Stegostoma tigrinum: one gene and its partners. The protein of the gene in region 1 purifies or fractionates together with the protein of each later gene. This does not show direct contact. Links are inferred from orthologs where the notes say so. Each region holds a gene or a part of one and is shown in the gene's direction. Other genes may lie near its edges. The genes, in order: exosc9, mphosph6, dis3l and exosc10.

The links.
Region 2: the proteins of exosc9 (region 1) and mphosph6 purify together in Homo sapiens (affinity purification with mass spectrometry; 5 studies listed by BioGRID and IntAct, with this or other methods). This does not show direct contact. The link is inferred for Stegostoma tigrinum from reciprocal best matches to the Homo sapiens genes EXOSC9 and MPHOSPH6.
Region 3: the proteins of exosc9 (region 1) and dis3l purify together in Homo sapiens (affinity purification with mass spectrometry; 3 studies listed by BioGRID and IntAct, with this or other methods). This does not show direct contact. The link is inferred for Stegostoma tigrinum from reciprocal best matches to the Homo sapiens genes EXOSC9 and DIS3L.
Region 4: the proteins of exosc9 (region 1) and exosc10 purify together in Homo sapiens (co-immunoprecipitation; 7 studies listed by BioGRID and IntAct, with this or other methods). This does not show direct contact. The link is inferred for Stegostoma tigrinum from reciprocal best matches to the Homo sapiens genes EXOSC9 and EXOSC10.

The regions. Positions count from the first base shown.
Region 1 is NC_081354.1:36,852,830-36,860,420, reverse strand, and holds the start of exosc9 (exosome complex component RRP45), read left to right. Parts: upstream 1-4,576; 5' UTR 4,577-4,878; coding exon 4,879-4,944; intron 4,945-7,591. UniProt on the Homo sapiens protein: Non-catalytic component of the RNA exosome complex which has 3'->5' exoribonuclease activity and participates in a multitude of cellular RNA processing and degradation events.
Region 2 is NC_081369.1:46,663,140-46,670,928, reverse strand, and holds the start of mphosph6 (M-phase phosphoprotein 6), read left to right. Parts: upstream 1-4,783; 5' UTR 4,784-4,919; coding exon 4,920-4,970; intron 4,971-7,789. UniProt on the Homo sapiens protein: RNA-binding protein that associates with the RNA exosome complex. Involved in the 3'-processing of the 7S pre-RNA to the mature 5.8S rRNA and play a role in recruiting the RNA exosome complex to pre-rRNA; this function may include C1D.
Region 3 is NC_081386.1:34,950,589-34,957,879, reverse strand, and holds the start of dis3l (DIS3-like exonuclease 1), read left to right. Parts: upstream 1-4,274; 5' UTR 4,275-4,404; coding exon 4,405-4,564; exon of another isoform or gene 4,565-5,009; intron 5,010-5,450; coding exon 5,451-5,604; intron 5,605-7,291. UniProt on the Homo sapiens protein: Catalytic component of the RNA exosome complex which has 3'->5' exoribonuclease activity and participates in a multitude of cellular RNA processing and degradation events.
Region 4 is NC_081381.1:39,422,236-39,429,869, forward strand, and holds the start of exosc10 (exosome component 10), read left to right. Parts: upstream 1-4,614; 5' UTR 4,615-4,637; coding exon 4,638-4,742; intron 4,743-7,634. UniProt on the Homo sapiens protein: Catalytic component of the RNA exosome complex which has 3'->5' exoribonuclease activity and participates in a multitude of cellular RNA processing and degradation events.

The DNA.
Region 1 (7,591 bases):
GGCTTTTCTTCTGCAGTGGCCATAGCGTCACAGATATCACCACCTTTGACAACCTAAAAGTTTAAATGAAGACCAGAATCTCGTCAGCACGATCACCGTTGCCTTTGCACATAGATTTCTCATATTCTTGATCCATTATGTGATAGTTGACATCCACCTCTAGTACTGTTGTACATACTGGCTTCCTGGGACTCTTGTGGTGCAGTGGTAATGTCCCTACCTCTGAGCAGGAAGGATCAGGTTTAAGTCCCACCTGCTCCAAACATCTGAACAAGTTAATAATAAAAAAAATCTAGAATTGGACCCGTGGAAATGTCATGATTGCCTCATTAAATTACAGAATTCCATGTCCAGGTTCAAGTGCCGCTGTCTCTCATTACAAGTCTTAACAGTTTGATTAAAAATATCAATACTCTGAAATCTTGGCTCCCTTTCTTCTGCAGCAATCCTATCAAGACCCTCAGACACAGCCTACAGCTCACCTTCATCAACACCTTAGATGTCCAGGGACAACATGGACCTGTCAGAGAAAAACATTCACATTCTATTCATCATATAACTGAACTCTGCTGCTGACAACATCACCTTAGCTTGAACTCACATCCAATTGACTATTGGGAAAGTATGGGCTTGGAAATCACTAAAAGCTACCTAGTACATTCTGCCTGTTCAGAAAGATTCTTTATGAATGACACATCACCCACAGAGCATTTGTGAGCACAACACATCTTCCCTTAAACAAACAAATCAAAATTTTAAAAATGATGCTGGCTCCTTCTGTGTTCTTATATGCAATATTTTGTGAATACTGATTATAGGCTACTCTCAAAAAGGATTCAAATTAGAAATAACTATTAATGTTAAAGTCAGATTCACCTCCAAAGAAGCTACAGTATACAACTTTGTAAAACGAGTTAAAAAAAAACTCATTTTTTGTGTCTTCAGTGCTCAAGTCGGAGTGATAGTTTTTAACAAGAAATTTTATGTACATACTGTGGCAGATCACCCCAATTTGTTTAGTTTAATGTGGCATTGTTTCACACATTTCTTGTACTACCTTCAAGCTAAGTTGCTTATTTTCTTGAATACTTTTGTTTTTCTGTTTCCAAGGATACAGTGATGTCTCACTTTTGCTTCACTCAGAAGCCTATTTAGATCTTCATCTGTGAGATTATGAGTCCTTTGCTTCTGGAACACCCATTATACTGACATTTTCTGCATGCAAGTAGCTAAGTAACATACAATTGTTATGTAACATAAAGTGTAAAAGAAAACAAAACAATTTTAAAACCTGCGTAGTTCAGGAATGCCAGAAAACTTTGAAACAGTCGGCTAACTGATGAAACTTGGGATGCTTGTGGGTAAACATATGGCAGATGCAACATAACGTGGATAAATGTGAAGTTATACACTTTGGTGTGAGAATACACAGGCAGAATTTTATTTCAGTGATGACATTGGGAAATGTGGATGTACAAAGGGATCTGGGTGTCCTTGTACCAGTGAAAATAAACAGGCAGGTGTAGCAAGCAAGCAATTAGGAAAGCAAGTGATATATTCATTTTAAGAGAACTTGAGTTCAGAAGTAGTTGTCTTACTGCAGTCATGCAGGGACTTGATGAAATGACATCTGGAGTATTGTAGTATCAGAGATAATGGGAACTGCAGATGCTGGAGATTCCAAGATAATAAAATGTGAGGCTGGATGAACACAGCAGGCCAAGCAGCATCTCAGGAGCACAAAAGCTGACGTTTCGGGCCTAGACCCTTCATCAGAGAGGGGGATGGGGGGAGGGAACTGGAATAAATAGGGAGAGAGGGGCGGTCCGCCTCCCCCTCTCTCCCTATTTATTCCAGTTCCCTCCCCCCATCCCCCTCTCTGATGAAGGGTCTAGGCCCGAAACGTCAGCTTTTGTGCTCCTGAGATGCTGCTTGGCCTGCTGTGTTCATCCAGCCTCACATTTTATTATCTGGAGTATTGTATGCAGTTTTGGTCTCCCTACCTAGGAAAAGGTACATTTGCCAGGGATGGAGTGCAGCAAATGTCCACTTAACTGATACCCATGTTGGCTGGACTGTTATATGAGTTGAGATTGATTCAACAGAACCCATGTTCGCTACAGTTTAGAAGAATGAGAGGGGATCCAATTGAAATGTATAAAATTCTGTCAGGGAGGACTGATTAGACTGAAGGAGGATGTTTACTGTGGCTGGGGATCAATCTCAGGACCAGGGGTAGATCCTTTTTGGACTGACATTGAGGAAACATTTCTTCACTAAAGAGTGGTGAACCTGTGGAATTTGCTATCACAGAAGGCTGTAAATGCCAGGTCACTGAGTATATTCAAGGAGATTTTTTTTATATATTAAAGGCATAAAGGGGTATGTAGAGAAAGCAGGAATTTGTGGTTAAGATAGACAATCAAGCCATGAATGGTAGAATAGGCTGAAAGGACTGAATAGTCTACTCTTTCTCCTAGTTTCTATATTGCTATTTTCAACCTTTATAGACTTTCCCAGTCACAAGGGGCATGTGCTTCAGTTCTTCTGCACTGCCTATAAATCTTTACTACAGGGTTTATCCTAGGCTCACTCATGAAACTGGGACAAGAAATATAGTCTCTGGGGGCACTGAGTTCTTTTTTGATTGCACAATTAAAATAGACTCACCACTGACTGGCAGATCTGGAGAGAATAAAGCTGAACGAGCTGCCAGATATTAGCAATGGATACAAACATGACATTGACATACCCTGCCCAATCAATCTGTCAAGCACTCCTCATTAACTCAGGAACTCTGTCAAAATTGGGAAAGCTGTCCGCACAGACTAATCAAGCATTATGCAGTCATTCTCATACTCCAAAGTGTGGTCTCACCAAAGCCCGATAGTAAGCCTAATCAACCTGTTTGGATAAGTTATGACACTCCATCCAGGCAGGTGGTATTTGAACCTAGATTTGGCCAGAGGTAGAGACACTGACACTGTCACAAGAGCCCTCACCAAGGCTTGATATTATTGCAGTTAGACATTGTTACTCTTATATTCAATTCCTCTTCTAATAAAGGCCAAAATTACCATTTTTCTTCTCAGTTGCTTGTTATACCAGCATGTTAACTTTCAGTGATTCATGAACAAGGACAGATCCTTCTGAAGTTCAATGCTTCCCAACTTCTGACCTTTGAAGATATATTCTGCGTTTTAGTTTTCTACCAAATTGGATTGCTCTTGGAGGCCTGCCTGCTTGCTTACCTTACTCCATGCTGTAGTGTGGTACCCTCAAATTAAACATAACTAATTGTTGCACTCGAATGAAAAGCAATGAAAAGGCTCCTTTGTGGAGTATGACTTCATACCCATACCAAATCGTATAACTTCAAATTTCTCTACATTATATTCCATCCACTGAATTTTTGATCACTCAATTGGCCTCTTTAAATCCCCCTGAAGCGCATCTTCATTATAAGTCATCTTCAGACTTGGAAATATTACATTTAATCCACAGATCCAAAATCATGAATATTTCTTATAAATAGCTGGGGCCAAATACTAATCCTTGCAGTACCTCACTGCTCACAATGTGCCAACACAAAAATGAGCGTTTCTAATCTGTTTTCTGTCTTAATCAGTTCACAATGCATGTCTGTATTTGTCCCCTATATCATGCGCTCTAATTTTGTTTACACCTCCTGTGTGAGACTTTATTGAAAGCCTTCCAGAAATTTAAATAGACAATAAATACCAGTACCCCTTTATCTATTCTGACAGCTACATATTGAAGAAGCTCCAACTAGTTTGGCAACAATGATGTACCTTTCATAAATCCATGCTGACTCTGCCCAGTCTAACCATTACATTTTAACTGTCTTGTTATCGTATTCTTTATTACAGATTTTAGCATTTTCCTTAATACTGATGCTGTTGAGCTAACAGGTTCCCCACATTCTATCTCCTTCCTTTCTTGAATTGTAGGGTTACATATGGCAACTTCAAATCTGCAGCATTGATTCTAGAGTCTCAGAATTTTGAAAGATGACCACAAATCATCTACTACTTTTACAGTCACCTCTTTCAACTGTCTGTGATATAGATCATCTGAACCTGGGCATACCTACATTTGAAATTCCATTAAGTTCTCTATTTTTCTTTTTAATGTGATAGTAATATCTTGTAGTACATCATTTACACAAACCCCTAGATTCATCATTACTTCTAGGAGGATTTTAACATTTTCCTCCATGAAAATGTACCCAAAAGATTTGTGTAGTTTATGTAAGAACTTTTTCATAGAATCCCAACAGTGTGGAAACAGGCCCTGACCACTGTCTCATGTCCAGCTCCTGCTCACTGTTCTATTCCCATTTCCTGCTCCTGCTCATCATTCTATTCACAATTCAATCTTGCTACTGCATTCCAAGCACCTGCACACTTCCATTCCCAGCTGCTGTTCAGTGTCCCATTCCCCAACTCCTGCCCACTGTACCATTCCAAGCCCCTGCCCTGAACTCGACCAAACTTAATGACACTTTTCTAGCACACGCCCACTTTTCTAAAAGCACCTCCTGGTCGTTACTGCTATGCCCAGCGTCTCAATCGCAGCTCCTGCTCGCTGCTCCAACCCTATCTTTGGTCATGATCCATATCCAGCTCCTGATCACTATCCCAGCCCTAGCTCTTGCATAGCTCCATACTAAGCTTTCCTGATCACTATCCCGGCCGAACTCCTGATCACTGCTCCAGTGATGTCCGTGGACAGCGACTCGTCACTTTCGCGCTGAGAGGCTCGGACGCGTCTTGGTTTTGAGTCGCAGGTTGATGATGTCATGGCAGCGCCGGAATCTCTAAATCTGTAAAGTCTCGAGGTAGTGGCCGTTTCGAAATGAGGGAGATTCCGTTATCAAATTGTGAGAGACAATTTATTCTTCAGGCTCTCGCCGAGAAACAGGTATTAAACGAGCGAGGATCCAGTTTTTAAATCTCAGCCCAATGTGCTGAGCATCAGTTTTTGTTGACGTCGGACACTTGAGTCTGTTTTAGGGCCCTGTTTTGGGGAGTGGGGGATGTGGTGCGGTGTGCCGGTGCCGGGGTGTTCCATTGTGAGGTAGTAGGACCTCGTCTGCACAGGCATGTACCAATACACAGTGAAGGAGTGGAGATGAAATGGGATGTTGTGTTGGCATGAGCATTGGGCTGTATAGCGAGTTTTGAGAAGATTTGTAGCTCAGGTTGAGGTTCTGGATGTGAGTTTGCTCGCTGAGCTGGAAGGTTAGTTTTAGACGTTTCGTCACTTTTTTTTAAAATTTGAAAAAATATACTTTATTCATAAGATGTACAAAAAAATAAAACCTATTTATACACCTACCCAGTCATGCAAGCCGCTCCGGTTTACCCAGGGGGTACGTACACCAACTAAAGGCAAAAAACAAAACAAAGAAAAAAAAAGCAAAGAAAATAGCCTGGCAGTCACCTCCCTGCGCAGTCCCCGTTGGCCCCTGACCAGTTGGGGAAGGTGCCAGCTGGGCCCAGTTACCAGATAGGGCCCTTTTTTCTATTCTGGATGAGGGGTCTCATATGGTGGTCTTTCCCCACTGCGCCTTGGCGGCGGCTGCCCCAAGCTTTAGCGCGTCCCTCAGCACGTAGTCCTGGACCTTGGAGTGCGCCAGCCTGCAACACTCAGTCGGGGTCAGTTCTTCCAGCTGGCAGACCAGCAAGTTGCGGGCAGACCAAAGAGCGTCTTTCACCGCATTGATGGTCCTCCAGGCGCAGTTGATGTTGGTCTCGGTGTGCGTCCCGGGAAACAGCCCGTAGAGCACGGAGTCCCGCGTCACGGAGCTGCTCGGGACGAACCTCGACAAATACCACTGCATCCCCCTGCAGACCTCCTGCGCATAGGCACACTCCAGAAGGAGGTGATCGACAGTCTCGTCCCCCCCACAGCCACCTCGAGGGCAGCGTGCGGTGGCGCAGAGATTCCGGGCATGCATAAAGGATCTCACTGGCAGAGCCCCTCTCACCGCCAGCCAAGCAACGTCCTTGTGCTTGTTTGAAAGTTCTGGCGATGAGGCATTCTGCATTGGGAACCACACGACGGGATCCACCCTCTCCTTTTCCTGAAGGGTCTCGAGGACACTACGTGCTGACCACTGCCTGACGGCCTTGTGGTCAAAGGTGTTTCCCTTCAAAAATTTCTCCACGAAGGACAGGTGGTACGGGACGGTCCAACTACTCGGAGCATACCGCGGCTACGAGGCCAGGCCCATCCTTCGCAACACCGGGGACAGGTAGAACCTCAGTAAGTAGTGACACTTGGTGTTTGCGTACTGAGGATCTATGCACAGCTTGATGCAGCCGCACACAAAGGTAGCCGTCAGAGCGAGGGTGGCGTTTGGGACGCCCTTTCCCCTGTTTTCCAGGTCTTTGTACATGGTGTCCCTGCCGACCTGGTCCATCCTCGACCCTCAAACGAAGTGGAAGATGGCCCGGGTGACCGCAGTGGCGCAGGTCCAGGGAATAGGCCAGGCCTGCGCCACATACAACAGTACCGAAAGACCCTCACACCTGACAACCAGGTTCTTACCCGCGATGGAGAGGGACCGGAGCATCCACCTGCCCAGCTTCTGCTTCAATTTGGTGGTACGCTCCTCCCAAGTCTTAGTGCACGCCCCAGCTCCACCAGACCAAACACCCAGCACCTTCAGGTAGTCTGTCCTGACGGTGAAGGGGATGAAGGAGCAGTCGTCCCAGTTCCCGAAGAACATGACCTCGCTCTTACCCCTATTGACTTTGGCAGCCGAGGCCAGTTCAAACTGGCCGCAGATGTCCAACAGTCTACTCACCGACCGACGATCGGTGCAGAAGACGGCGACATCGTCTATGTACAGGGAGGTCTTGATCTGAAGGCCTCCGCTGCCTGGGATAGTCACGCCCTTCAGGCTCACGTCCTTCCTGATGGATGCGCGAAGGGCTCCACACAGCACACGAACGAGGCAGGAGAGAGCGGGCAGCCCTGCCTGACTCCAGATCTGACGGGAAAACTGTCCGATTCCCACCCGTTGATCGAGACTGCGCTAACGATGTTGGTGTAGAGCAGCCGGATCTAATTGCGGATGCCCTGCCCGAACCCCAATTTGGAGACGCCGCGACCAGGTATACCTCCGCTGCGCTCCGTCTGCAGGGGTGCTGAAGACGTCGACCAGCTTGGCGTCCTTCACCGTGTCCATCAGGAATCGTGACGTCCAGTTGACTCCCCCCACCCGCTGTCCCCATGCCGGATCTTCCATCTGCATCGATGATGCAGTTGAAGTCTCCGCCCAGGATGACCGGCCTGGACGTAGCCAGCAGGGGTGGAAGCCGCTGCAGGACGGCCAACCGCTCACTCCGTACCGCTGGGACGTACACATTGATCAGCCTCAGGGGAGCGTTCCTGTAGGTGACGTCAGCCACTAGGAGGCCCCCCCCCCCCACCACCACCACCACCACCACCACCACCTCCTGAACTTGAGAGATGCTATCCCGGTGGCTAGCTTTTTAGAATTAGAGTGAGGGCAGGACTGGTTCGAATGCAAGGAGAAGTATGTGGCTATAGCCCTCCC
Region 2 (7,789 bases), on another chromosome or scaffold:
ATGCATAGTGTGGAATATTACATGGTGAAATTTGTGACAGAATCAGAGGCTTGTCTCGATGTCAGCAGCATCTTGCTGCATCTTTTGTGTATCAAGGCAAGTTTTATACTAAGACAGTGGCAAGTTTCCAGTTAAGGGGGTTGTTGCTTTTCAAATGCCTTGTTCATGACCCAACTCACCTCAACTAGCTTCCTAGCACTGCAAATGTGCTGAACAAGCTAGACATTAAGAAATCTTAACATGGGCTTTGGAGCAGGTACTTGGTGATTTCAGCTCACTGTTGCTCCATGCCTCCAGGTTGCTTAGCACCAAATGGCATCTCAGGGGATGGTCCATGGGTTCCAGTCACATGCATCCCTTATCCATGGACATTGGCATTGGACATTTGCCAACTCTTTGTGTTCATCATGGCGCCTCTCCAATCCACTTGTCGGCTGCTTGGAACATACAACATAGAACATAGAACATAGAAAAGTACAGCACAGTACAGGCCCTTCGGCCCACGATGTTGTGCCATGGAATAATCCTAATCCAAAATAAAATAACCTAACCTACATTCCCCTCAATTCACTGCTGTCCACGTGCATGTCCAGCAGTCGCTTAAATGTCACTAATGACTCCGCTTCCACGACTACCACTGGTAAACTATTCCATGCGCTCACAACTGTCTGCGTGAAGAACCTCCCTCTGACATCTCCTCTATACCTTCCCCCTAACACCTTAAAACTATGACCCCTCGTGGCAGTCAATCCTGCCCTGAGGAAAAGTCTCTGGCTACTGACTCTATCCATTCCTCTCATTACCTTGTACACCTCGATCAGGTCACCTCTCCTCCTCCTTCTCTCTAGAGAGAAAAGTCCGAGCTCAGTCAACCTCTCCCGTAAGACAAGCCCTCCAGTCCAGGCAGAATCCTGGTAAACCTCCTTTGCACCCTCTCCAAAGCCTCCACATCTTTCCTATAATAGGGCGACCAGAACTGGACACAATATTCCAAGTGTGGTCTCAACAGGATTTTGTAGAGCTGCAGCATAACCTCGCGGCTCTTGAACTCGATCCCCCTGTTACTGAAAGCCAAAACACCATCTGCTTTCTTAACAGCCTTATCCACCTGGGTGGCAACTTTGAGGGAGCTATGCACTTGAACACCAAGATCCCGCTGTTCCTCCACACTGCCGAGAATCCTGCCGTTAATCCTATATTCAGCATTTAAGTTTGACCTTCCAAAATGCATCACTTCGCATTTATCCGGGTTGAGCTTCATCTGCCATTTCTCAGCCCAGCACTGCATACTGTCAATGTCTCGCTGAAGACTGCAATAGGCCTCAATACTATCAACGGCACCTCCAACCTTTGTGTCATCAGCAAACATACTAACCCACCCCTCAACCTTCTCATCCAAGTTATTTATAAAAACTACAAAGAGTAGAGGCCCAAGAACAGAGCCTTGTGGGACACCACTCAGCACTGACCTCCAAGCAGAATACTTACCATCTACAACCACTCTCTGCCTCCTGTCAGCCAACCAATTCTGAATCCAGACAGCCAAATTGCCCTGTATCCCATACCTCCTGACGTTATGAATGAGCCTGCCGTGGGGAACCTTATCAAATGCCTTGCTGAAGTCCATGTACACCACATCCACTGCTCGACCCTCGTCAACCTGTCTCGTGACTTCCTCAAAGAACTCAATAAGATTTGTAAGGCATGACCTGCCCCTCACAAAGCCATGCTGACTTCCTTTAATCATGCTATGCTTTTCCAAATAGTCATAAATCCTAACCCTCAGAATTCTTTCCAAAACCTTGCTGACCACAGACATAAGACTGACTGGACTGTAATTTCCAGGGATTTCCCTATTCCCTTTCTTGAAAAGAGGAACAACATTTGCCTCCCTCTAATCTTCCGGTACGACTCCCGTGGAGAGTGAGGAAGCAAAGATCTTCGCCAGCGGCTTAGCAACCTCCCTTCTCGCTACCCGGAGAAACCTAAGATAAATCTGGTCTGGCCCTGGGGACTTATCAATCTTAATGTTTGCCAAAATTTCCAGCACATCAACTTCCTCAATCTTGATCTGTTCAAGCCTGTTTTCCTGCTCCTCAAAGTTCTCATTCACAACAAGGTCCCTTTCCTTAGTGAAAACCGAAGCAAAAAACTCATTTAGGGCTTCCCCTATCTGCTCAGACTCCACGCACAAGTTCCCTACGCTATCCCTGATCGGCCCTACCTTCTCCCTGATCATTCTCTTATTCCTCACGTATGAGTAAAATGCCTTCGGGTTCTCCCTAATCCTTCCTGCCAAACCTTTATCGTGCCCCCTCCTGGCACTCCTCAGTCCACTTTTGAGCTCCTTCCAAGCAAGCCTGTTATCCTCTAGGAAGCACAGACTTGCTGCGGGGTGCACTGGGCAACTAACATTGAAACACTGCTGCAAGAACTTTTTGTGTACACACACAGGCAATCGACTCATGGAGTGGACTACACTGTATCTCAGGGCTGCTCTTTTGCTTGTAGTATTCACTCATTTAGCAGGTACCTGCATGCTAACAACACCCATACCTTGCTTGGCCCTCAGTTGTCTTGCCATATCAATTAGCGCAGTCATTCTACCAGGCAGCTTGTCTTGCTGGTCAGCAAGGGTGCTTACTTACTTGCTTAAATCAAAGTTGCAGCATGCCAAGAGATTCCATTACTCTGACAAGGGAAGGGGAAACTGATATCACATGTATCGCCAATCCTTGTGCACTTTCAGTGTCAGTGGCAAGTGCCCCTGGTTCATTACCAACTGCAGAATATTGATCAATGTGTACAACAATATATGATGCCATGGTGCAATTAAATGTAGATTTGCTGTGGGAGTTGCTGAATGGAGATACCCCTTCCTTCCTAGAAAAAAAAGTCAGAGATATTGCTCAGCTAGTCTCATACCCTCCTTGGCAACAAGTTGTTCATTTTAAAGATGCATTGATAAAAGCTTTATAATGGCCAATGTTGCATACAGAAAGCTGCAAGCTAAAGTCATTGTGCCAATCAAGCTCACTCCTTTAGGATTACGGACAGTTGTTCTTTCATGGATTTACTTCTCTCATAACCAAACATTAATTTTCAAAAGCAATGTCCCTTGAATAGTGTAGTTAAATCTTTTTAGACCCTTCTCAACAATATCAATCAGGCTCCTTTCAAAATTTTCCATAAATATATATTCTTAGAGTTTATTTTGCTCTTAAATGATAAGCTGCAGTGCCTACACCTGCTCCTTTTTTGTGGGGGTGCGGGATTTTTTTTGTAGTCTCTAATCTTTTGTACTTTTTTTCCATTTTCCATGCTGGTCTGATTATTTCCATCTCAATCAATCACATTCACTGTCTTATTTCATACAACAGTTGGGTACAATAGGAGTATAATCTGGAAAGTAATAGAAGTTATGATGAAGGATTAGCACCCTTTTGGGTCTACCAATCATCAAACAGTTACAATAATGTTTTAAACATACAGGTTATAAGAGAGAAAAACAGAAATTTCTGGAGAAACTCAGCAGGTGTGGCAGCAAATCTTTCCCCTCTCACTTTAAACCTATGCCCTCTAGTTTTGGACTCTCCCACCCTTGGGAAAAGATCCTGTCGATTTACCCTAGCCATGCCCCTCATGATTTTATATGCCGCTTAAGGTCACCCCTCAGCCCCTGATGCTCCATGGAAAATAACCCCAGTCTATTCAGCCTCTCCCTATAGCTCAAACCTTCCAACTCTAGTAACATCTTTGTAAATCTTTTCTGAACCCTTTCAAGTTTTACAACATCCTTCCTATGGTAGGGAGACCAGAATTGAATGCAGTATTGCAAAAGTGGCCTAATCGATGTCCTCTACAGCCACAACATGACCTCCCAACTTCTATACTCAATGGACTGACCAATAAAGGCAAGTACACCAAACGCCTTCTTTATTATCCTACCCACCTGTGACCTCACTTTCAAGGAATTATGGAGAGAGAAGCAGAATGACTGTTTCCAATCCAGTGACCCTTCTTCAGAACTGAACACAAAAACAAATGCTGGAGATTACCGTGGGTCAGGAAGCATCCATGGAGAGAGAATATATAATGTTTTGAATCTTCAATAGAGCTGACTGAAGTGTGGAGGGGGCAGGATTTATGCATTGGTTGGGGGTGGGAGTTGGCGTGTAGGGCGCTGGGGGAGAAAAGATGTTGATAGTTCAGATTAAGTGATCAGGATGTGAGAATGGCAGAACAATAATGTGTCCAACTGCCAGATTGGGGGGAACAGTCAGTCCCACTGGGGTGGGGGTGGGGGCAGGGGAGAGAGGACATGATGATAAGGTGAGTGATAATGGGAACTGCAGATGCTGGAGAATCCAAGATAACAAAGATAACAATTCTCTGATGAAGGGTCTCGGCCCGAAACGTCAGCTTTTGTGCTCCTGAGATGCTGCTTGGCCGGCTGTGTTCATCCAGCTCCACACTTTGTTATGATGATATGGTGACCCTTCTTCAGAACTTGCCCAGCAATTTCTGCCCTTGTTTCAGATTTCAAGCATTTTATTTCAGATTCTAGGGAGTATGTCTTCTGTTTGCGGATAAGAAAAAGAGGCAGCTGACAAAAATACTCAGGACAATTTACTTTGCTCTGTCAGCTCCGCTGTCTCTGAGCTGGATGGTGAGCCATCCTGTGCGAAGATCTTGCAGCAGTTGGACAGCTCCGCATCCTGCTTCCGGCCATTGATTAGCCAGGCTGCAGCGGCTGGGACTCGTCCGATCGATTGGTCGCGTCCGTTGTCAACGTGTTGCCCGGGACGGAGGAAGCGCCGGCGAATCTGGTGTGTGGTGTCTATTTCGCTTTTTGCGTTTCTTCGATTCCTCCTCCAAACAATCAAGAAAAAGATAAACAAAAAAAAACACACACAAAAATGGCGAGAGAGAGCGCTATGAAATTATCGAAAAACCTGCTGAAAATGAAGGTAAGTTTGAACTCCCGAGGCCTACTCGTGGGTTTTCTGAAACCTTCTTTTCTGAAGAAGGGTCCAGGCCCGAAACTTTCTGAGGAAGGGTCACCGCGTTAATTCTGATTTTTATTTTTCCTTCACAGATGCTGCCTGAGCTTTTCCAGCAACTTCTGTTCTTTGTTCCGAAACTTTCCTGCTCCTTTGCTGCTGCCTAGCCTGCTGTGTTCATCCAGCTCCACACTGTGTTACCTTTGACTCCAGCATCGGCAGTACTTACTATCTCCAACTCGTAATTTTCGCGTCTCGATGTTGGACTGTAGGCCCCGGGCAATGGCGGCAGCAACAGGAGGAGCAGTGGAGGTTGATTAATTCACTCGTGGTATTACCTCCTTTCCCCTCCTGCACACACCAGCAGTTTTGATTGGCAGGAAATCTTAATGTTGACAACTGCTGGACCAAAAAGTTTACTTTCTCAAAACGTAGAGTTGCATTTTTCTCTCACGCTGACTTCTTGACGTTGTCACCTGCTTGATGCCCCCATTATCATTTCAGGTTATTTATAGAACACCTCCAATGTGGAAATAAGCCATTCGGCCCACTAAGTCCACGCCGACCTTTGGAAGAGCTTCCCACCAAGATCCACCACCACCCTCCTACCTTTTGCCTGTAACCCTGTATTTCCCATGGCTAATGGGGTAAAACTTCTGTTTCAGCTGTTCAAAGCCTTATTCAGACTGTGTTTGGAAGATTGGGAACAGTTTTGCGAACAGTCCAGGCAACAGGCAGTCAAGAGGAACCTAGCCGAACTCGTCCTCACCCTCAACAACTTCTCTTTCGATTCCTCCCACCACCTACAGACAAAGGGGGTGGCCATGGGTACCCGCATGGGCCCAAGCTCTGCCTGCCTCTTTGGAGGTTACATGGAACAGTCCCTCTTCCACACCTACACAGACCCCAAACCCCACCTCTTCCTCCGTTACATTGATGACTGTATCGGTGCCACCTCTTGCTCCCCAGAGGAGCTCGAACAGTTCATCCTCGTCACCAACACCTTCCACCCCAACCTCAAGTTCACCTGGGCCATCTCCAACACATCCCTCACGTTCCTGGACCTCTTAGTCTCCATCTCAGGTAACCAGCTAGAAACTGATGTCCATTTCAAGCCCACTGACTCCTACAGCTACCTAGAATACACCTCCTCCCACCCACCCTACTGCAAAAATTCCATCCCCATTTCCCAATTCCTCCACCTCCGCCGCATCTGCTCCCAGGATGAGGCATTCCACTCCCGCACATCCCAGATGTCCACGTTCTTCCAGGACCGCAACTTTCCCCCCGCAGTGGTTGAGAACGCCCTTGACCGTACCTCCCGCATTTCCCGCAACACATCCCTCACACCCCTCCCCCGCCACAACCGCCCAAAGAGGATCCCCCTCGTTCTCACATACCACCCCACCAACCTCCAGATACAACGCATCATCCTCTGACACTTCCGCCATCTACAATCCAACCCCACCACCCAAGCCATTTTTCCATCCCCACCCTTGTCTGCCTTCCAGAGAGATCACTCTCTCCGCGACTCCCTTGTCCGCTCCACACTGCCCTCCAAACCCACCACACCCGGCATCTTTCCCTGCAACCGCAGGAAGTGCTACACTTGCCCCCACACCTCCTCCCTCACCCCTATCCCAGGCCTCAAGATGTCCTTCCATATCAAGCAGAGGTTCACCTGCACATCTGCCAATGTGGTATATTGCATCCATTGTACCCGGTGTGGCTCCCTCTACATTGTGGAAACCAAGCGGAGGCTAGGGGACCACTTTGCAGAACACCTCCGCTCGGTTCGCAACAAACAACTGCACCTCCCAGTCGCGAACCATTTTAACTCCCCCTCCCATTCCTCAGACGACATGTCCGTTATGGGCCTCCTGCAGTGCCACAATGATGCCACCCGAAGGTTGCAGGAACAGCAACTCATATTCAGCTTGGGAATCCTGCAGCCCAATGGTGTCAATGTGGACTTTACAAGCTTCAAAATCTCCCCTTCCTCCACTACATCCCAAAACCAGCCCAGTTCTTCCCCTCCCCCCACTGCATCCCAAAACCAGCCCAGCCTGTCTCCGCTTCCCTAACCTGTTCTTCCTCTCACCCATCCCTTCCTCCAAACTCAAGCCACACCTCCATTTCCTACCTACCACCTCATCCCGCCTCCTTGACCTGTCCGTCTTTCCTGGACTGACCTATCCCCTCCCTACCTCCTCACTTATACTCTCCTCTTCACCTATCTTCTTTTCTCTCCATCTTCAGTCCACCTCCCCCTCTCTACCTATTTATTCCAGTTCCCTCTCCCCATCCCCCTCTCTGATGAAGGGTCTAGGCCCGAAATGTCAGGTTTTGTGTTACTGAGATGCTGCTTGGCCTGCTATGTTCGTCCAGCTCCACACTTTGTTATCAGGCAATCAAGAGGGTTGTTTACTCTGCCTATCTTCCAAGGTTACGTCCACGCCTGAGTGTCCCTTGAGATGGAGCAAGAGTACAATAATGTACATGAGGCCTTCTGCAACCAATGCATACTTAAGGCAGGGGTTAGACAGCATCATTGACACTGACAAAGTTATTTTAATTTCATAAGTTCCCTATAAAGTTTTTGTTACAGTTAGGTGATAGTGCCCCATATGTCAAGCTCCAGTAAGTAGTCTGATAAATCTTTTTTGCCCTCCTTGCGGTCAAGAGAATAGCAAGAGGTCAAGATGGAACACTCACTTGACATTTCTGCCTGAAGAAGTTGCACATGCTTTTGTTTTGTTGTTTGCTCTGAAATTTTGAGCTCTATC
Region 3 (7,291 bases), on another chromosome or scaffold:
ACATGTTACTTTCTGAAGAAGTTATATCCATTTCAATGGATTTGCTTGATCTTCAACGAAAGGTGCACAATTCCGAACCAGCAGCGCCCTCAGTCGTTTATGATTTGAAATTAAAGGGAACCATTCAGCCCTGAAAGTGTCCAGCACGTCCATCAATCATCACTTCACAGAGAAAGAAAGGTTATCTGTGTGGTCAGGATCATCAAGAAAATTAACCTTTCCTTCTGGCTCAGATGCTGATCGATTTGCTGCATGTGATCTGCCAGACAAAATCGACGCTAATTTACCTAACAAAGAAAACTAACCATTCATAGGGCAACATTTCGGGAGCCCCAGTTATTTCACAACATGAATGAGCGGACTGCTGTGGTGTTTTCTTGCACCTGCAAGTATAGTTAGCGCATCTGCCCCTTTTGTTTTGCTCCATTAAAGATGTGGAGAAAGAACCATGACAGCTTAGGGTTAGTACAAATTATTTTTAAAGAAAGATTGACGATTTTTAGAAGTTTAGAAGCAACGTACACATTTTTATTGGGATGGGAGATATGTGCTGGCAGTTCCACGACACCAAGGTTTTGTTTTTCAGAATGTGAGGGATGCAGGTCGTTAATGCTGGGAAACAATTCTCTTTGATGTCAATTTTACATCAAGCATCATGAAATGGTCCAAATTCTGAGTAAAGCTCTACTTAATTCAAGAAAAAGAAACCGTGCCTTCAATTAAACCAATCTTTGTACGTTTGAATATTTCAGTTCATTGCTTTCTACTGTATTTTCTAGTAAGATTGAGCCATAAGCTTTTGATGTAAGACAACAAAGTGTGGAGTTGGATGAACCCAGCAGGTCAAGCAGCATCTCAGGAGCACAAAAGCTGACGTTTCGGGCTTAGACCCTTCATCAGAAAAGGGGGATGGGGAGAGGGTTCTGGAATAAATAGGGACAGAAGGGGAGGTGGACTGAAGATGGAGAGAAAAAGAGATAGGTGGAGAGGAGAGAATAGGTAGGCAAGGGGTAGGTCAGTCCAGGGAAGACGGGCAGGTCAAGGAAGTGGGATGAGGTTAGTAGGTAGGAAATGGAGGTGCGGCTTGCGGTGGGAGGAAGGGATAGGTGAGAGGAAGAACAGGTTAGGGAGGTGGGGATAAGTTGGGCTGGTTTTGGGTTGCAGTGGGGGGAGGAGACAAGCTGGGCTGGTTTTGGGATGCAGTGGGGGAAGGGGAGATTTTGAAGCTGGTGAAGTCCACATTGATACCATTGGGCTGCAGGGTTCCCAAGCAGAATATGAGTTGCTGTTCCTGCAACCTTCGGGTGGCATCATTGTGGCACTGCAGGAGGCTCATGATGGACATGTCGTCTAAGGAATGGGAGAAGGAGATAAAATGGTTTGTGACTGGGAGGTGCAGTTGTTTATTGCGAACTGAGTGGAGGTGTTCTGCAAAGCGGTCCCCAAGCCTCCACTTGGTTTCCCCAATGTAGAGGAAGCCACACCGGGAACAGTGGATACAGTATACCACATTGGCAGATGTGCAGGTGAACCTCTGCTTAATATGGAAAGTCATCTTGGGGCCTGGGATGGTGGTGAGGGAGGAGGTGTGGGGGCAAGTGTAGCACTTCCTGCGGTTGCAGGGGAAGGTGTCGGGTGTGGTGGTGTTGGAGGGGAGTGTGGAGCGAACAAGGGAGTCACAGAGAGGGTGGTCTCTCCGGAAGGCAGACTAAACCAAGCAGAGGCTTGGGGACCGCTTTGCAGAACACCTCAGCTCGGTTCACAATAAACAACTGCACCTCCCAGTCACGAACCGTTTTATCTCCTTCTCCCATTCTTTAGATGGCATGTCCATCATGGGCCTCCTGCAGTGCCACAATGATGCCACCTGAAGGTTGCAGGAACAGCAACTCATATTCTGCTTGGGAACCCTGCAGCCCAATGGTATCAATGTGGACTTCACAAGCTTCAAAATCTCCCCTTCCCCCACTGCATCCCAAAACCAGCCCAGCTCGTCCCCTCTGCCCACTGCATCCCAAAACCAGCCCAGCTTATCCCCACCTCCCTAACCTGTTCTTCCTCTCACCTATCCCTTCCTCCCACCTCAAGCCACACCTCCATTTCCTACCTACTAACCTCATCCCACCTCCTTGACCTGTCTGTCTTCCCTGGACTGACCTATCCCCTCCCTACCTATTCTCTCCTCTCCACCTATCTCCATTTCTCTCCATCTTCGGTCCACCTCCCCCTCTCTCCCTATTTATTCCAGAACCCTCTCCCCATCCCTCTTTTCTGATGAAGAGTCTAGGCCTGAAACGTCAGCTTTTGTGCTCCTGAGATGCTGCTTGACCTGCTGTGTTCATCCAGCTCCACACTTTGTTGTCCTGGTTTCTCCAGCACCTGCAGTCCCCATTATCTCTGATCACAGCTTTTGATGTAAGACTGGTACTGATGTGAAGATGTTTAAGGTGTTGTATGAGGTAAGCGTAGCGACATGATTTGGGAATCAAACTTGACCTGAATATCGAAAGTAACTGAAACCACCCAAGAGTAGCATTTCATGCCATGATTTACACTTAAGGCAGTTCAGCTTGTGTCTGTTATGAACTTGGAAATATAGGAACAGGAGTAGGCCATTCGGGCTGTTCTGTTCAATGAGATCATGGCTGCTGTATAGCTTAACTCCTTTTGGCCTTTGTCCCTTAATATCTTTGCTGAATAAAAATGCATCTAAAAATAACAATTGATCCACTGCAGTTTATGGAGGAGAGTTCCAAACCTCTACCATTCTTTGTGTGTGCAAGTGTTTTCCACCATCTCCCCTGAACGGTCTGGCCCTAATTCTCAGCCTATGTCCTCTGGTTCTCGAATCACTGACCAGGGCAATATCTTGACCTACCCTGTCTTTTCTAGTTAATATATTGAAGACTTCAATGGGATCACTCCTAATCTTCCAAATTCTGGAAAAAAAGGCCTAATTTGTCTAATCTTTCCTCATATAGTAGCCACTGGTCCAGGTTTCATTCTTGTATACCTATGTTGTACTCCCTCCAAGGCGAAGATATCCTTCCTCAGGTGTTGTGCGCAGATCTGCTCACAGTATTCCAACTGGGGTCGAACCAGTATAACAGCAACATAACTTCTGCCATCTTATTCTCCAGTCCGCTGGTTTTAAATGTTAGCATGCCGTTAGCTTTCTTCATTATTCTCTGTACGTGTTCATTGCGTTTTAAGCTCGGGTAAATGGAACTGTTTCAGTTTCGGAAACCCAGGCAGGGGGCGGACTAAAGGGTTTTTTTCGTGTTGTATGACTCTATGCACCCCAAGTCTCTTTGGACAGCCATTGTATTTAAATTAATAGCATCTAGAAAGTTCCAGTCCAAATTTGAAAAAGAAATTATAATCATTATTACATGAGAGGAACGCAATTTTTTCCCTTCTAAGAAACCGTAATCACCGAGAATGGAGGTCTGGAGATTCATGTAAGCACATATGCACAGAACTCCCTCAGTCACATAATTATTTAAGACTCGTACTAGGAGCATAAAGTATCCTAATGATATTACCTCTTTTGTTTATACATTCCACTTTTATTTAGATCTAATGTTATCTCTAGAATGATTCATGGATTTTCAACCAGTTTATTCGACATTTTTTACTGCAAATCTCCGAGTGGCATCTTCCTGCAGTAACATTGAATACCGTGTGAGAATCTTCGACATCTTCAAGGCTATGTATTGCGATCAAGAGATCAGTTTGCTACAAAGTCGAGAAACTCCCCGATATTCAGTGAGACCCAATTCTGAGCAGAGTTGCTAATGTAGGAAAGTACTTTCTCTAAAAAGGGAGTAATATAATCAAAAAGAAACAGACAGATCTGAAATTCGTTAAAGTGGGGTGATTTGTTTCATGTTAACAGTCAAGCACACAAACAGTAGGTTACCTTTACGTGGAGATAGCAGGAACTGCAGATGCTGGAGAATCTGAAATAACAAGGTGTAGAACTGGATGAGCACAGCGCCAAGCAGCATCAGAGAAGCAGGAAAGCTGACGTTTCGGGCCTAGACCTCTTTTCAGAAACGTCAGCCTTCCTGCTCCTCTGATGCAGCTTGGCCTGCTGTGTTCATCCTGCTCTACATCTTGTTACCTTTTATTTGGAAATGTGTAACACATTCAGATTGCAAGGAGCAGTTCAGTTTGCGCATGCGCTCCTAGTCCATCACTTTGCCCCGCAGTGCAACCCTTTGCCCCGCAGCACCGAATTACATTTCCGGTTCACACGCGGGGGAAGCTGTCAGGTTGAGGCGGGCGGAAAATGGGCGCTAGGAAGGCAGGAGGTGTTTGTTCGAGTTGTTTACATCCGCGGAGCGTGGTCTTCCTGGGGCTTGTCGGAGAATTGAGTTCGAGAAGAAAAGTAATCGCTTAATGGCTCCTCCGCTTGTTTACAACAGTGTAATGATAAAAACGGAGAAGGTGCTGCACCTGAGGAGCTGCAAAGGGAAATCAGTTCGAGTTGTGAGGGAGCATTACCTCAGGCAGTCGGTTCCCTGTAACAGTTCCCTGTGCCAGGCTGAGTGCTACAATGGTAAAGTATGGCCGAGCGGGTACAGTCATCTACAAAGCAGAACTCTCAACGATATTAAAACTCATGGAGAAAAGAAAATATTGCATTTATATCACATTTTTCTGGCGGTTTCAAAGTGTTTTATAACCAATGAAGTACTTAGAAATGTGGCCACTGATGTAGGAAACACAGCAGCCAATTTGCACTCAACAAGATCCCAAAACAGCAGTTCCTGTCCAGAAAATCTCTTCCCGATGTTGATTGAACATAGATATTGGCCACGATGGCAGGGAGAACTTCCCTGCTGTTCTGTGAAGTAGAGCTTGTGGGATCTTTTATATCCACCTGAAAGATGACACCTCTGACAGTGCAGCACTTTCTCAAGTACTGTACTGGGAGTGTCGGCCTGGATTGAGTAGTCGAGCTTCTGATGTGGGACTTGAACATACAACCTCCTGACTCAGAGGTGAGATAATGCTACCTATTGAACCACAGTTGACATTGTAAAAATTGAATAAAATAATACTCAAAAATATTCAGGATGAGGATAGAACTGAACTCCTAATATAGAAGGAATTTTATATATCTTTCATTTCCTGTGAACATCCCAAAGATATATACAATTGAATTAAGTTTGAAGTACAGTGAGTATGCAAGTAAATTCTCACTTAGAAATATCTCTCAGATGTAATTGGACAATCTGCAACTGAGGTTAGTTGAGGGAAAATACTGCCCAGGATATTGAGAGAGCTCCTTGTTTCTTCTAATAGTGCCATGGGATCTTTTATTTTCATATGAACATTGAAATAGTAACTAAATATCTCACCTGAATATCAGTGTTACTTTTGCAACTAACGTACTGTCTTTTATGCTACTTGCTTAATTCTGCGTTAACTTAATGTTTCAGAAGGGAAATTGTTGTCAGAAAGTGCAACTCATTATGTGATACCTGACTGGAAAGTGGTGCAGGATTATTTGGAGATACTTGAGTTTCCAGAATTGAGAGGCATTGTCTTCATGCAGACAGCTTGTCAGGCTGTCCAACACCAGAAGGGACGCAGGTTTGTGATGGCTATCTATCTTTAATATTTGATGGATTTAAAGATCACGCAAAGCACTGGTCAGTTACTGAATCAAACAGTTAAAGCTTGAGCACTATGATTATTTAACTATGGCCTGTGATTTGTAACTCATAATATTTGATCAAAAACAGAAGTTGCAGGAAAAGCTCAGCAGGTCTGGCAGCATCTGCAAAGAAAAGGCCAGAGCTTCTGTTTCTGACTTACAGTGTCTGCAGTTCTTTTGGTTTCTGTAATATTTGATTTTTATCTTGATTTTTAAAATTACTTGCAGTGAATAACAGCAGTTTGCAACAATACATATTTGGTGTAAAATCAGCATGTCTGTTGTCAATGGCCAACTGACTGAGGGCTGATATGGCCTGTGACAAACATGGTGCATTTGTTGACTAACTGTAGAAAGATCAACATTGTGTTCTTCCACTTCCAAATGCAATTTGAAGGTGAAGGCAACACCAGCAAACAGGTCAGAATGTGACAAGTTCCCAGTGAACTAAAAGCAGCAGGTTTTCAAGGGTGAAAGAAGTTCACAAAATGATAAAGGAAACAGCTGATATTTAGGTCCAAGGTATCGAGCTGGATGAACACAGCAGGCCAAGCAGCATCATAGGAGCAGCAGAGCTCCTATGATGCTGCTTGGCTTGCTGTGTTCATCCAGCTCTACACCTTGTTGTCTCAGATTCTCCAGCATCTGCAGTTCCTACTATCTCTGATATTTATGTCCTGAGGTTTATAGTTGGAGTGACCTCAAACCTCCCGGTAATTATAATGAAAACTAACTAACTATTACTTGAAGGCATTCTACCTTTGTACAGAATTATATAGATGCTGTTTTCTTGTTCTCATATGTGGTTAAGTATGTTGATGTTGTTATATCATCTGGCAAATCACAAACTCTCCTCCATAAACTGCAGTAGACCAATAAATGCTGTGATCGGAGGGGAAACTCTGGAGAATTCCTGTACAATATTTCTTTATTGATAAGCTCGTGGAAGGATCCTAGGTGCATGACTACTGTTTTGCAGTGCTTTAAATTTATGGAGCTATAGAGTTATACAGCACAGAAACAGATACCTTGGATCAACTTGTCTGTGCCAACCAGATATCCTAAACTGATCTAATTCCATTTGCTAACATTTGGCCCATATCCCTCTAAACACTTGCAATTCATGTACCCATCCATATGCCTTGTAAATGTTGTTATTGTACTCAACTCACCCACCTCCTCTGGCAGCACATTTCATACACGCACCACCCTATGAGTGAAAAAGTTGCCCCTTGGATCCCTTTTGCATCTTTCCTCTCTCACTTTAAACCTATGTCCTCAATTTTGGACTCCCTTACCCTGGGAAAAAGACCTTGGCCTTTCACCCTATCCATGCCCCTCATGATTTTATAAACCTCTATAAAGTCACTTCTCAGCCTCCAGCGGTACAGAGGAAAATACTCCAGCCTATTCAGCTTCACCTTATAGCTCCAACCCTCCAATCCCAGCAACATCCTTACAAATCTTTTTTGAACCTTATCAAATTTAACAACATCTTTCCTATAACAGGAAGACCAGAATTGAATGCAATATTCTGAAAGTGGCCTCACCAATATCCTGTACAGCTGCACCATGATGTACACGAATGCTGTACTCAGTGCATGGCCAAAGAAGGTAAATTTG
Region 4 (7,634 bases), on another chromosome or scaffold:
TGACTCCACAAGTGAATGATTCGAAAATTTATTAAAATGCAGGATTCCAACTCAGGTGCCACGGAAACGACAGAACCAGCAAGCATGTAAAACAAAATGGAAAGTAATTTAACATACAGCAGGTCACAAAATATTTGTAAAGGAAATGTTGATATTTCAGGCTCAGCCAAACATCAGATCCATTGATGGGCAAAAACCTGTATAAAAAATGTGATAGTAGTAAATAAAGCTTGCATTCATTTAGAGACTTTCATGGCCTCGGAAAGCCACAAGATGCCCAATGAGATCTCAGGGTTCAAGTGCATAGATTTTGAAAATACTCTGAACAGGTGCAGAAAATAGTCAAGAAGCCTTATCCAAGACGGCAGTGGAGCAGGGCTCCTGAGCCGCAGCTCGTCAGCTCCGACTGCTTCTCTTTCTTCCTTTCTCACATTTTCCTTTTTATAGTTTTTTTTTCTTTACTTACCTTCTGGAGGGAGCTTGGTCATGGAGGGAGCAGCAGCATTGGCAGCTGTTGGGAGGCCTGAGTGGGTCTTTGGCAGTTGGCCAAGATGCGGTTGGCATGCCCAGGCAAAACTGTGGTGATTGGTGGCATCGCGGAAGCAGCTGCGGTCCCAGAGAAGCACCGAAGTGGGACACTGGTGACCTGTGACGTGGATGACAACTTGGAGGCATGGGATTGAGAGACTGAGCCCTTGCAGGGAACACCCAGCATGGAGTGACTGCAGGCCCCTGGCTAAAGAAGGATTGTAAATTGAACTTTTAACTTTATTTTTTATTTACTACTTTATACTGACAAGAACTGTAATGTTGAATTTTTAACTTAATTCTTTATTTTTCTACTTTTTACCTAAAATTTTGTAGCTAGGCACCCTGTACCTAAGGTGGCACTGTGAATGTCTCACTGTACTCCTGTTTCCCTGTACTTGAGTACATGTGATGATAATATCTAATTCTATTGGAATGCTGGCTTTCAGATCTAAAGTGCTGGAGTATAGAGATGACAACGTTATGCTGTAGTTAGAACCCACTTACACTACTGTGAACTGATCTGGGGACTACACCTTAGGAAGGATGTTTTGGTCCTTGAGAGAACTCAATGCAGGTTTATAAGGATGATATCCGAACTTCAGGGAGTAAGTTGCAAGGACAGAAATTAGATTCTCTGGAATTTAGATGGTTAAAAGATGATCTAATCAGATATTAACTAGGAAAAGCAGGGTAGACAAAGACAAACTATTTCCAATGATGGGAGATTCTAGAATTAAGGGTTATAGCCTAAAAATTAGGAGGTGTTAGAAAATACTTTGGTGTGGGCAAATCACCACAAATTTCCCTTAATTCAGCTACTTTAAGAAATCTAACAGACAATCAAGTACCGAAACAATGATTTAAACGTTGTTCCACACAGTAACCAAAACAACCTGCCTAAAGTAAGCAAATTAAACCTCACAACTCTTGGCTATTACCTGATTAATGGTGGAATTTAGCTACAATCCAACCAACAATGTCTGTCTCTGGAAGCAGCCAGGGTTCGATGCTTGTGCAGTGTTGTCCTTTGAAGTTCTGCTGATAAATAGTTCTGGTGTTAGATTCTTATACAGATTCTCATCCTTCAGGACCACGATGTAATAGTATTGATGATTCTTTCATCCAAAGTATTACAAATCTGCAGCCTGTGTTATTATCAAAAGTAGCTTCCCCATTCCATGTTACATTTGGTATTAATTTTCAGGTTGAAGACACAGCTTTCCTGTATATAACTCATTAAATTCTTCTGCAATGCAATCAGTTCTCCGTAAGGTTTGACTCAGCCATTCATCATGCAATTGACAAAACAGTTTTGTTTATGTAACTTCAACTCCTCTCACAGACATGGCTAATTGCTTTCAAAACTGTACAAGTTTGGTGGAGCATCCCCCAGTGGAGAGCAGCAAGATGCTGGGCGGAGACATCTTGATGCATCATCCCGCAGTGGAAGCTCTTAACCCGGGTCCCCCACCAAATATTATATTTCACAAGCTTCAAAATATCCTCTCCCCCGACCACATGCCAAAACCAGCCCAACTAGTCCCCACCTCCCTAACCATTCCTCCCACCTCAAGCCCCACCCCATCCCCTACCCACTAACCTCATCCCGCCCCCTGACCTGCCCGTCCTCCCTGGACTGACCTATCCCCCCCCAACTCCCCACCTACATTCACCTTCACTGGCTCTAACCCCGTCTCTTTGACCTGTCTGTTTCCTCTCACCCTATCTTCTCCTTTATCAATCTTCTATCCGCCTCCCCCCGTCTCCCTATTTATTTCAGAGTCCCCTTCCCCTCCCCCATTTCTGAAGAAGGGTCCTGACCTGAAACGTCAAGCTTTCCTGTTCCTCTGATGCTGCTTGGCCCGCTGTGTTCAGCCAGCTTCACATCGTGTTAGCTCTGATTCTCCAGCATCAGCAGTTCCTACTATCTCTGTGACAAGTTTTTTCTTCATTTCAGTTTATTTCAGACACCATTATTGCTGCTTCTTTCCATGTATAATTAATCTTTGTTGATTCTTTCAATCCACGAATAGTTATTAAAGTTCTCAAGGTTGATTTGAATTATTAGTCAACTGTGCAAAGGTACAGTGAAAAGTATTGTTTTGCATTGCTAACCAGACTAATGCCTTACATAAGTACATCATGGTATTAGAACAGAATGCATAATATAGTGTTACTGTTACAGAGAAAGTGCAGAGAAAGATCACCTGTAATATATGAGAGATTAGTTCATAAGTCTGTTAACAATAGGGAAAAAGGTTTCAAACTTCTGTATTTTCTACCCAATAGAAGAGCATGGAAGAGAGAATAAATCACTGTTGGGGAGTGTCTCTAATTATTTTGGCTGCTTTCCCAAAACAGCGGGAAGTGTGGATGGACTCAATGAATGGAAGGCTGGTTTTCATGATGGACTGGACCGCAATTACAACCCTGTTTTTTTTGCGGCCTTGGGCAGAGCAGTTGCCATGTCAACCTATGATGAGTCCAGATAGAATGCTTTCTATGGTGCATCTATAAAAATTGGTAAGTCATTAATGGACATGCAGAATTTCCTTAGCCTTCTGAGGAACTAGAGGCATTGGTGTGCTTTCTTGACTGAGGCAATGACGTGGATGGACCAGGACAGATTATTTGTGATATTCACTCCTGGGAACTTGAAACTCTTGACCACCTCCACCTCAGTACTATTAACACAGACAGGGATGTGTCCTCTGCTGTGCTTCCTAAAGTCAATGGCCAACTCCTTGGTTTTACTGCTATTGAAGCAGAAAATGTTGTATTTACACCAGATCACTAAGCTGTCTATCACTTGTCTGTACTGTCTCAGCATTGAGATCTGACCCGTGAGGGTGATGTCATCAGCAAGTTTGTAAACAAAGTGAGAGCTGTTTATGATATCACAACTTCAACATGCGAGGGTTCGTGGAGGTTTGGAACTCTCTGCCCAAAACAGTGGTTAATGCTAATTCAATTGTAAATTTAAATCTGAAACTATTTTTTTCAAGTAAGGGTAATGAGGAAATATGGGCGCAAGCCGAGTAGTTGAGTTAGGGCACATGCCAGCCATAATCTTATTGAATGATGGAGCAGGCTTGGAGCCTGACTGGCCTACTCCTGTTCCTACGTTCACCATATCAGATTCTTTGGATTGTTAGCCAAGGAATAGGTTTTGCTGCTCAGATCACTCACGAGAGCTTCTAGCTCCACTTACAACACTAGCATTGCAGGTTTCAAGAACCTCACATTCAGAAGACAGCATCTCCAATAATCAAAGAATCATTACAGTGTGGAACAGGCCCTTCAGCCAAACAAGTCCACACCAACCCTTGGAGCATCCCAACCAGACACATCCCCCTAAAAACCCATCTAATCTACAAATCTCTGAACACTATGGGGCAATTTAGCATGGCCAATCCACCTAGCCTGCACGTCTTTGGACTGTGAGAGGAACCGGAGCGCCCGGAGGAAACCCACCCAGACACCGGCAGAATGTGCGAACTCTGCAACGACAGCCACCTGAGGGTGGAATCGAACCCGGGTCCCTGGCGCTGTGAGGCAGCGGTGCTAACCACTGAGCCACTGTGCTGCCCCAAACGCAGCACTGCCACGGAACAGTGAGCACCAGGGAAATGTGATCAGGGAATGGGTCAGCACGCACAGGGGCCAGGCTGGAGACCACATTCTTTCCGATCAGGCTGTTTGGAGCTGCGTGAACACAGCAGTCCCAGCAGCATCAGAGGAGCAGGAAAGCTGATCTGGACCCTTTTTCCTCTGTTTGAGAGACATTATTTACACACCTCTGGAGAAGGACAGACTTGAGCTTCTTGGCTCAGATGTGGGAACACTACCACCATGGCACAGGCACATTGCACCAGGGCTCTCCAACACGCGCCTCCTCAGTCAGCGCGGGATTGTCCTCCACGTGACGCGCCGACACCACGTGACGCGCCAGTCTGCGCCCGCCCACGTATTGTCCCCACGTGCCAGCCGCCAGCCGGGGCGGCTCAGTCCCTTCCGCTGGGGGGCGTGGTTAGGCATTTCCCGAGCCTCGCGAGAGTCTCTCCCTCTCCGTCCCACCCCTGCGCGAGAGTTTGTCAGTCGGCAAAATGGCGGCGCAGGGCTGTGCGGAGGAGCATCAGGATCCGGGAGAGAGGCCTCTCAACGGTGACGGCCCCATCCCGGGATTTAGTGACGCGGATAGCTTCGTGAAGGTTGGCGCTGTTGTATGCGGGTGCTGGGGGCGGGATCCCTGTCTCTTCTCCTTCCTTCGTGTGTTCTTCAACACGGAGGAGACATCATCAGCCCAGGGAGGGCGATGGGAGGCCGTCATTAAGATGTGTTCTCTCTCTTGCTGGATCTGTTGCCACGAGACATCATGTGCCTTCACTTCTTCGCCCCCCCCGACTGTATGCACTGTGCTGCCGTCCGACCAGGAGAGCACAACAGGGATGGTCATGAGCGATACATAAATGAAACGTGTAGAGCTGGATGAACACATCAGGCCAAGCAGCATCAGAGGAGCAGGAAAGCTGCTGTTTCTGGTCTGGGCCCTTCTTCAGAAATGACACCTTGTTATCTCAGACTCTCCAGCATCTGCAGTTCCTACTATCTCTGATCAGGCAGCAGCTCAAGATTGGGACGTGACTTTGGCCGTTTCAATTTCTCTGCCCTCGAACCCCACTCCCCTCCCCCACCAAGAACTGACTGCAATTTGTGTTCTCCAATTCAGTCCTGACTTTGTAGTCTAGCCATTGTGGTGCTGCTGTTGTCTGGCATGCTGAGCACTAGCTCTCAGGTGCCTTCCTTCTCCCTCTGGACCATAAGTCTTCCATCCAACATTGGGCTATTGTATTCACAACAGTCATTAACCTTATAAACCAAAAAAAATTGTGGTTGCTGTAAATCAAGAATGAGAACAGAAGGTGCCAGAAAAGCACAGCAGGTCAGGCAGTGTCTGTGAAGCAAAGAATCAGAGTTGATGTTTTGGGTCCATTGACTCTTCCTCAGAACTGATGGTAGCTAGGTTAATGTCGGAGATAGGTTGGATTTGGTGAGGGAGGCAGAGAAATTGAGGTGTCAATATCACGTTGACAGTTCTCCAGGAACAGATCAAACTTAGGTAAAAGACCAGACTGGGCGAAGGGGAGAAGACGCTTGTCTAAAGAAATGGGCATGGAGGCGAAGATGGCAGAAGAAGAGTTTGACGTCATGTCGTGCCTCAAGTTTGTTAAGGTTGGGATACAGAGGAATAAAACTGAGGCCTTTGCTGTGTGCAGAGCATTTAGCATCGGAGATTGGAAGGTTAGGAGGAATGGTGAATACACCTACCTCCTCATACCTCTTTCCAAAAAACCACAAACTGGACTGTCTGGGCAGACCCCTTGTTTCAACCTGCTCCTGCCCTACAGAACTCATCTGTACCTACCTTGACCTAGTCTTCTCTCCCCAGGTTTAATCCCTGCCCACATACATCCATGATACCTCTGACACAGATATACCAACCAGTTCCCAGCTGCGTTCAGTTCTGAAGAAGGGTCATTGAACCGAAAATGTTAACTCTGCTTTCTCTCATCGATGCTGCCAGGACTGAGTTTTCCCAGCAATTTCTATTTTTGTTGTCAATAATTGTGCCGAGGTATAAACTAAATAATTTGTCCTTATCGAAATCGTTAACCCAAGTATTGATTGTCAAGCTGTCATCAGAAAACAGTGTTGGAATTTGTTTTTCAGTCACTTCTTTTTAGTGATTTCATCTAATTGAGCAATTGACTGGGTTAGTTCCAAGAGCAGTCAAGAAGCAACCATGTTTGTGGAATTGAAATTGCATGCAAATTATCCTCAGTAAACATAAACTCCCTTTATTTGTTCAATGGGCTGTGTGTGGTGTTAGTGTCTGGTTGAACTGCTGCACTCAGTGGAGGGGAGGAAGTTAATTACATGCTTAATGGTAGTCTTGCTTCTCTGTTACTGGGATTAGTTTTATATCCCCGATCTATCAATTGATTTTAAATCCACTTAAACCCAAGCCTATGTCTGTGTTTTTGGATTTCTACTCCGCTGATGTTATCATTACACCATCTCTGCCTCAAAGTGATGCCAGAAATACTTTGACTTACTGTAATTGTTTACATTATAAATTATATACAAAACAACAGAGATCATTTCTGACATTTAGTTTATTTCCAACTCCGAGTTCATTTTCTGCTTTTTGAGAGGCAATTGATTGTCATTTGAATCTGAGATCAACTTCCTTCTCATCACCCTATAATTAATAGTGTCTAGCTGAAACCGCTTTGATTTTGTTCTGCTTTATTTTCCACACACATACAAAATAGGAGCAGCATGGGGCCAAAGTGTGGAACTGGAGGAACACAGCAGACTAGGCAGCATCAGAGGAACATCTGAAGAAGGGTTCTGACCCCAAAAGTCAACTTTCCTGCTCATTTGATGCTGCCTGGCCTGCTGTGTTCCTCCAACTCCACATTTTGTTATCTCTGACTCCAGCATCTGCAGTTCTTGCTATTCCAGCAACGCAGTGCCATTTGGCACCTCAACCCTGCTGTCCATTTCAATAACATCATAGCTCATCTGTTTATGTTTTGAATCTGTTTTCCCACTTACTTCCACTAACTTTGAGTTCTTGTAAGGTAAGAAAATCAATCTGTCCCTGCCTTAAAGATATTCAGTGCTCCCACTTACACCAACTTCTGAGACAGAGTTCCAAGTTGTTAAACACTCAAGAGAACAAAATTCTTCTCGTCTGTCCGAAAAGGATAACTCATAATTTTTAAATTCATATCACCTAATTCTCAATTTTCCTACTAGAAGAAATATCATTTCAACATCGATTTTGTCAAGAATATTCACTACTTACCCTTCTAAATTCCAGTCAAAACAAGCCCAGCCTATCCTCATAAGACAACCCACTTCTACCAGGTATCAATCTAGTAAATCTTGCCAAACTACTTCCAGCAGATTTATATTACTCCTCAAATAAGAATACCAAAACGGCACATGGTTTTGAAAAAACAAGGTGTAGAGCTGGATGAACACAGCAGGCCAAGCAGGATCAGAGCAGCAGGAAAGCTGACATTTCAGGTGTG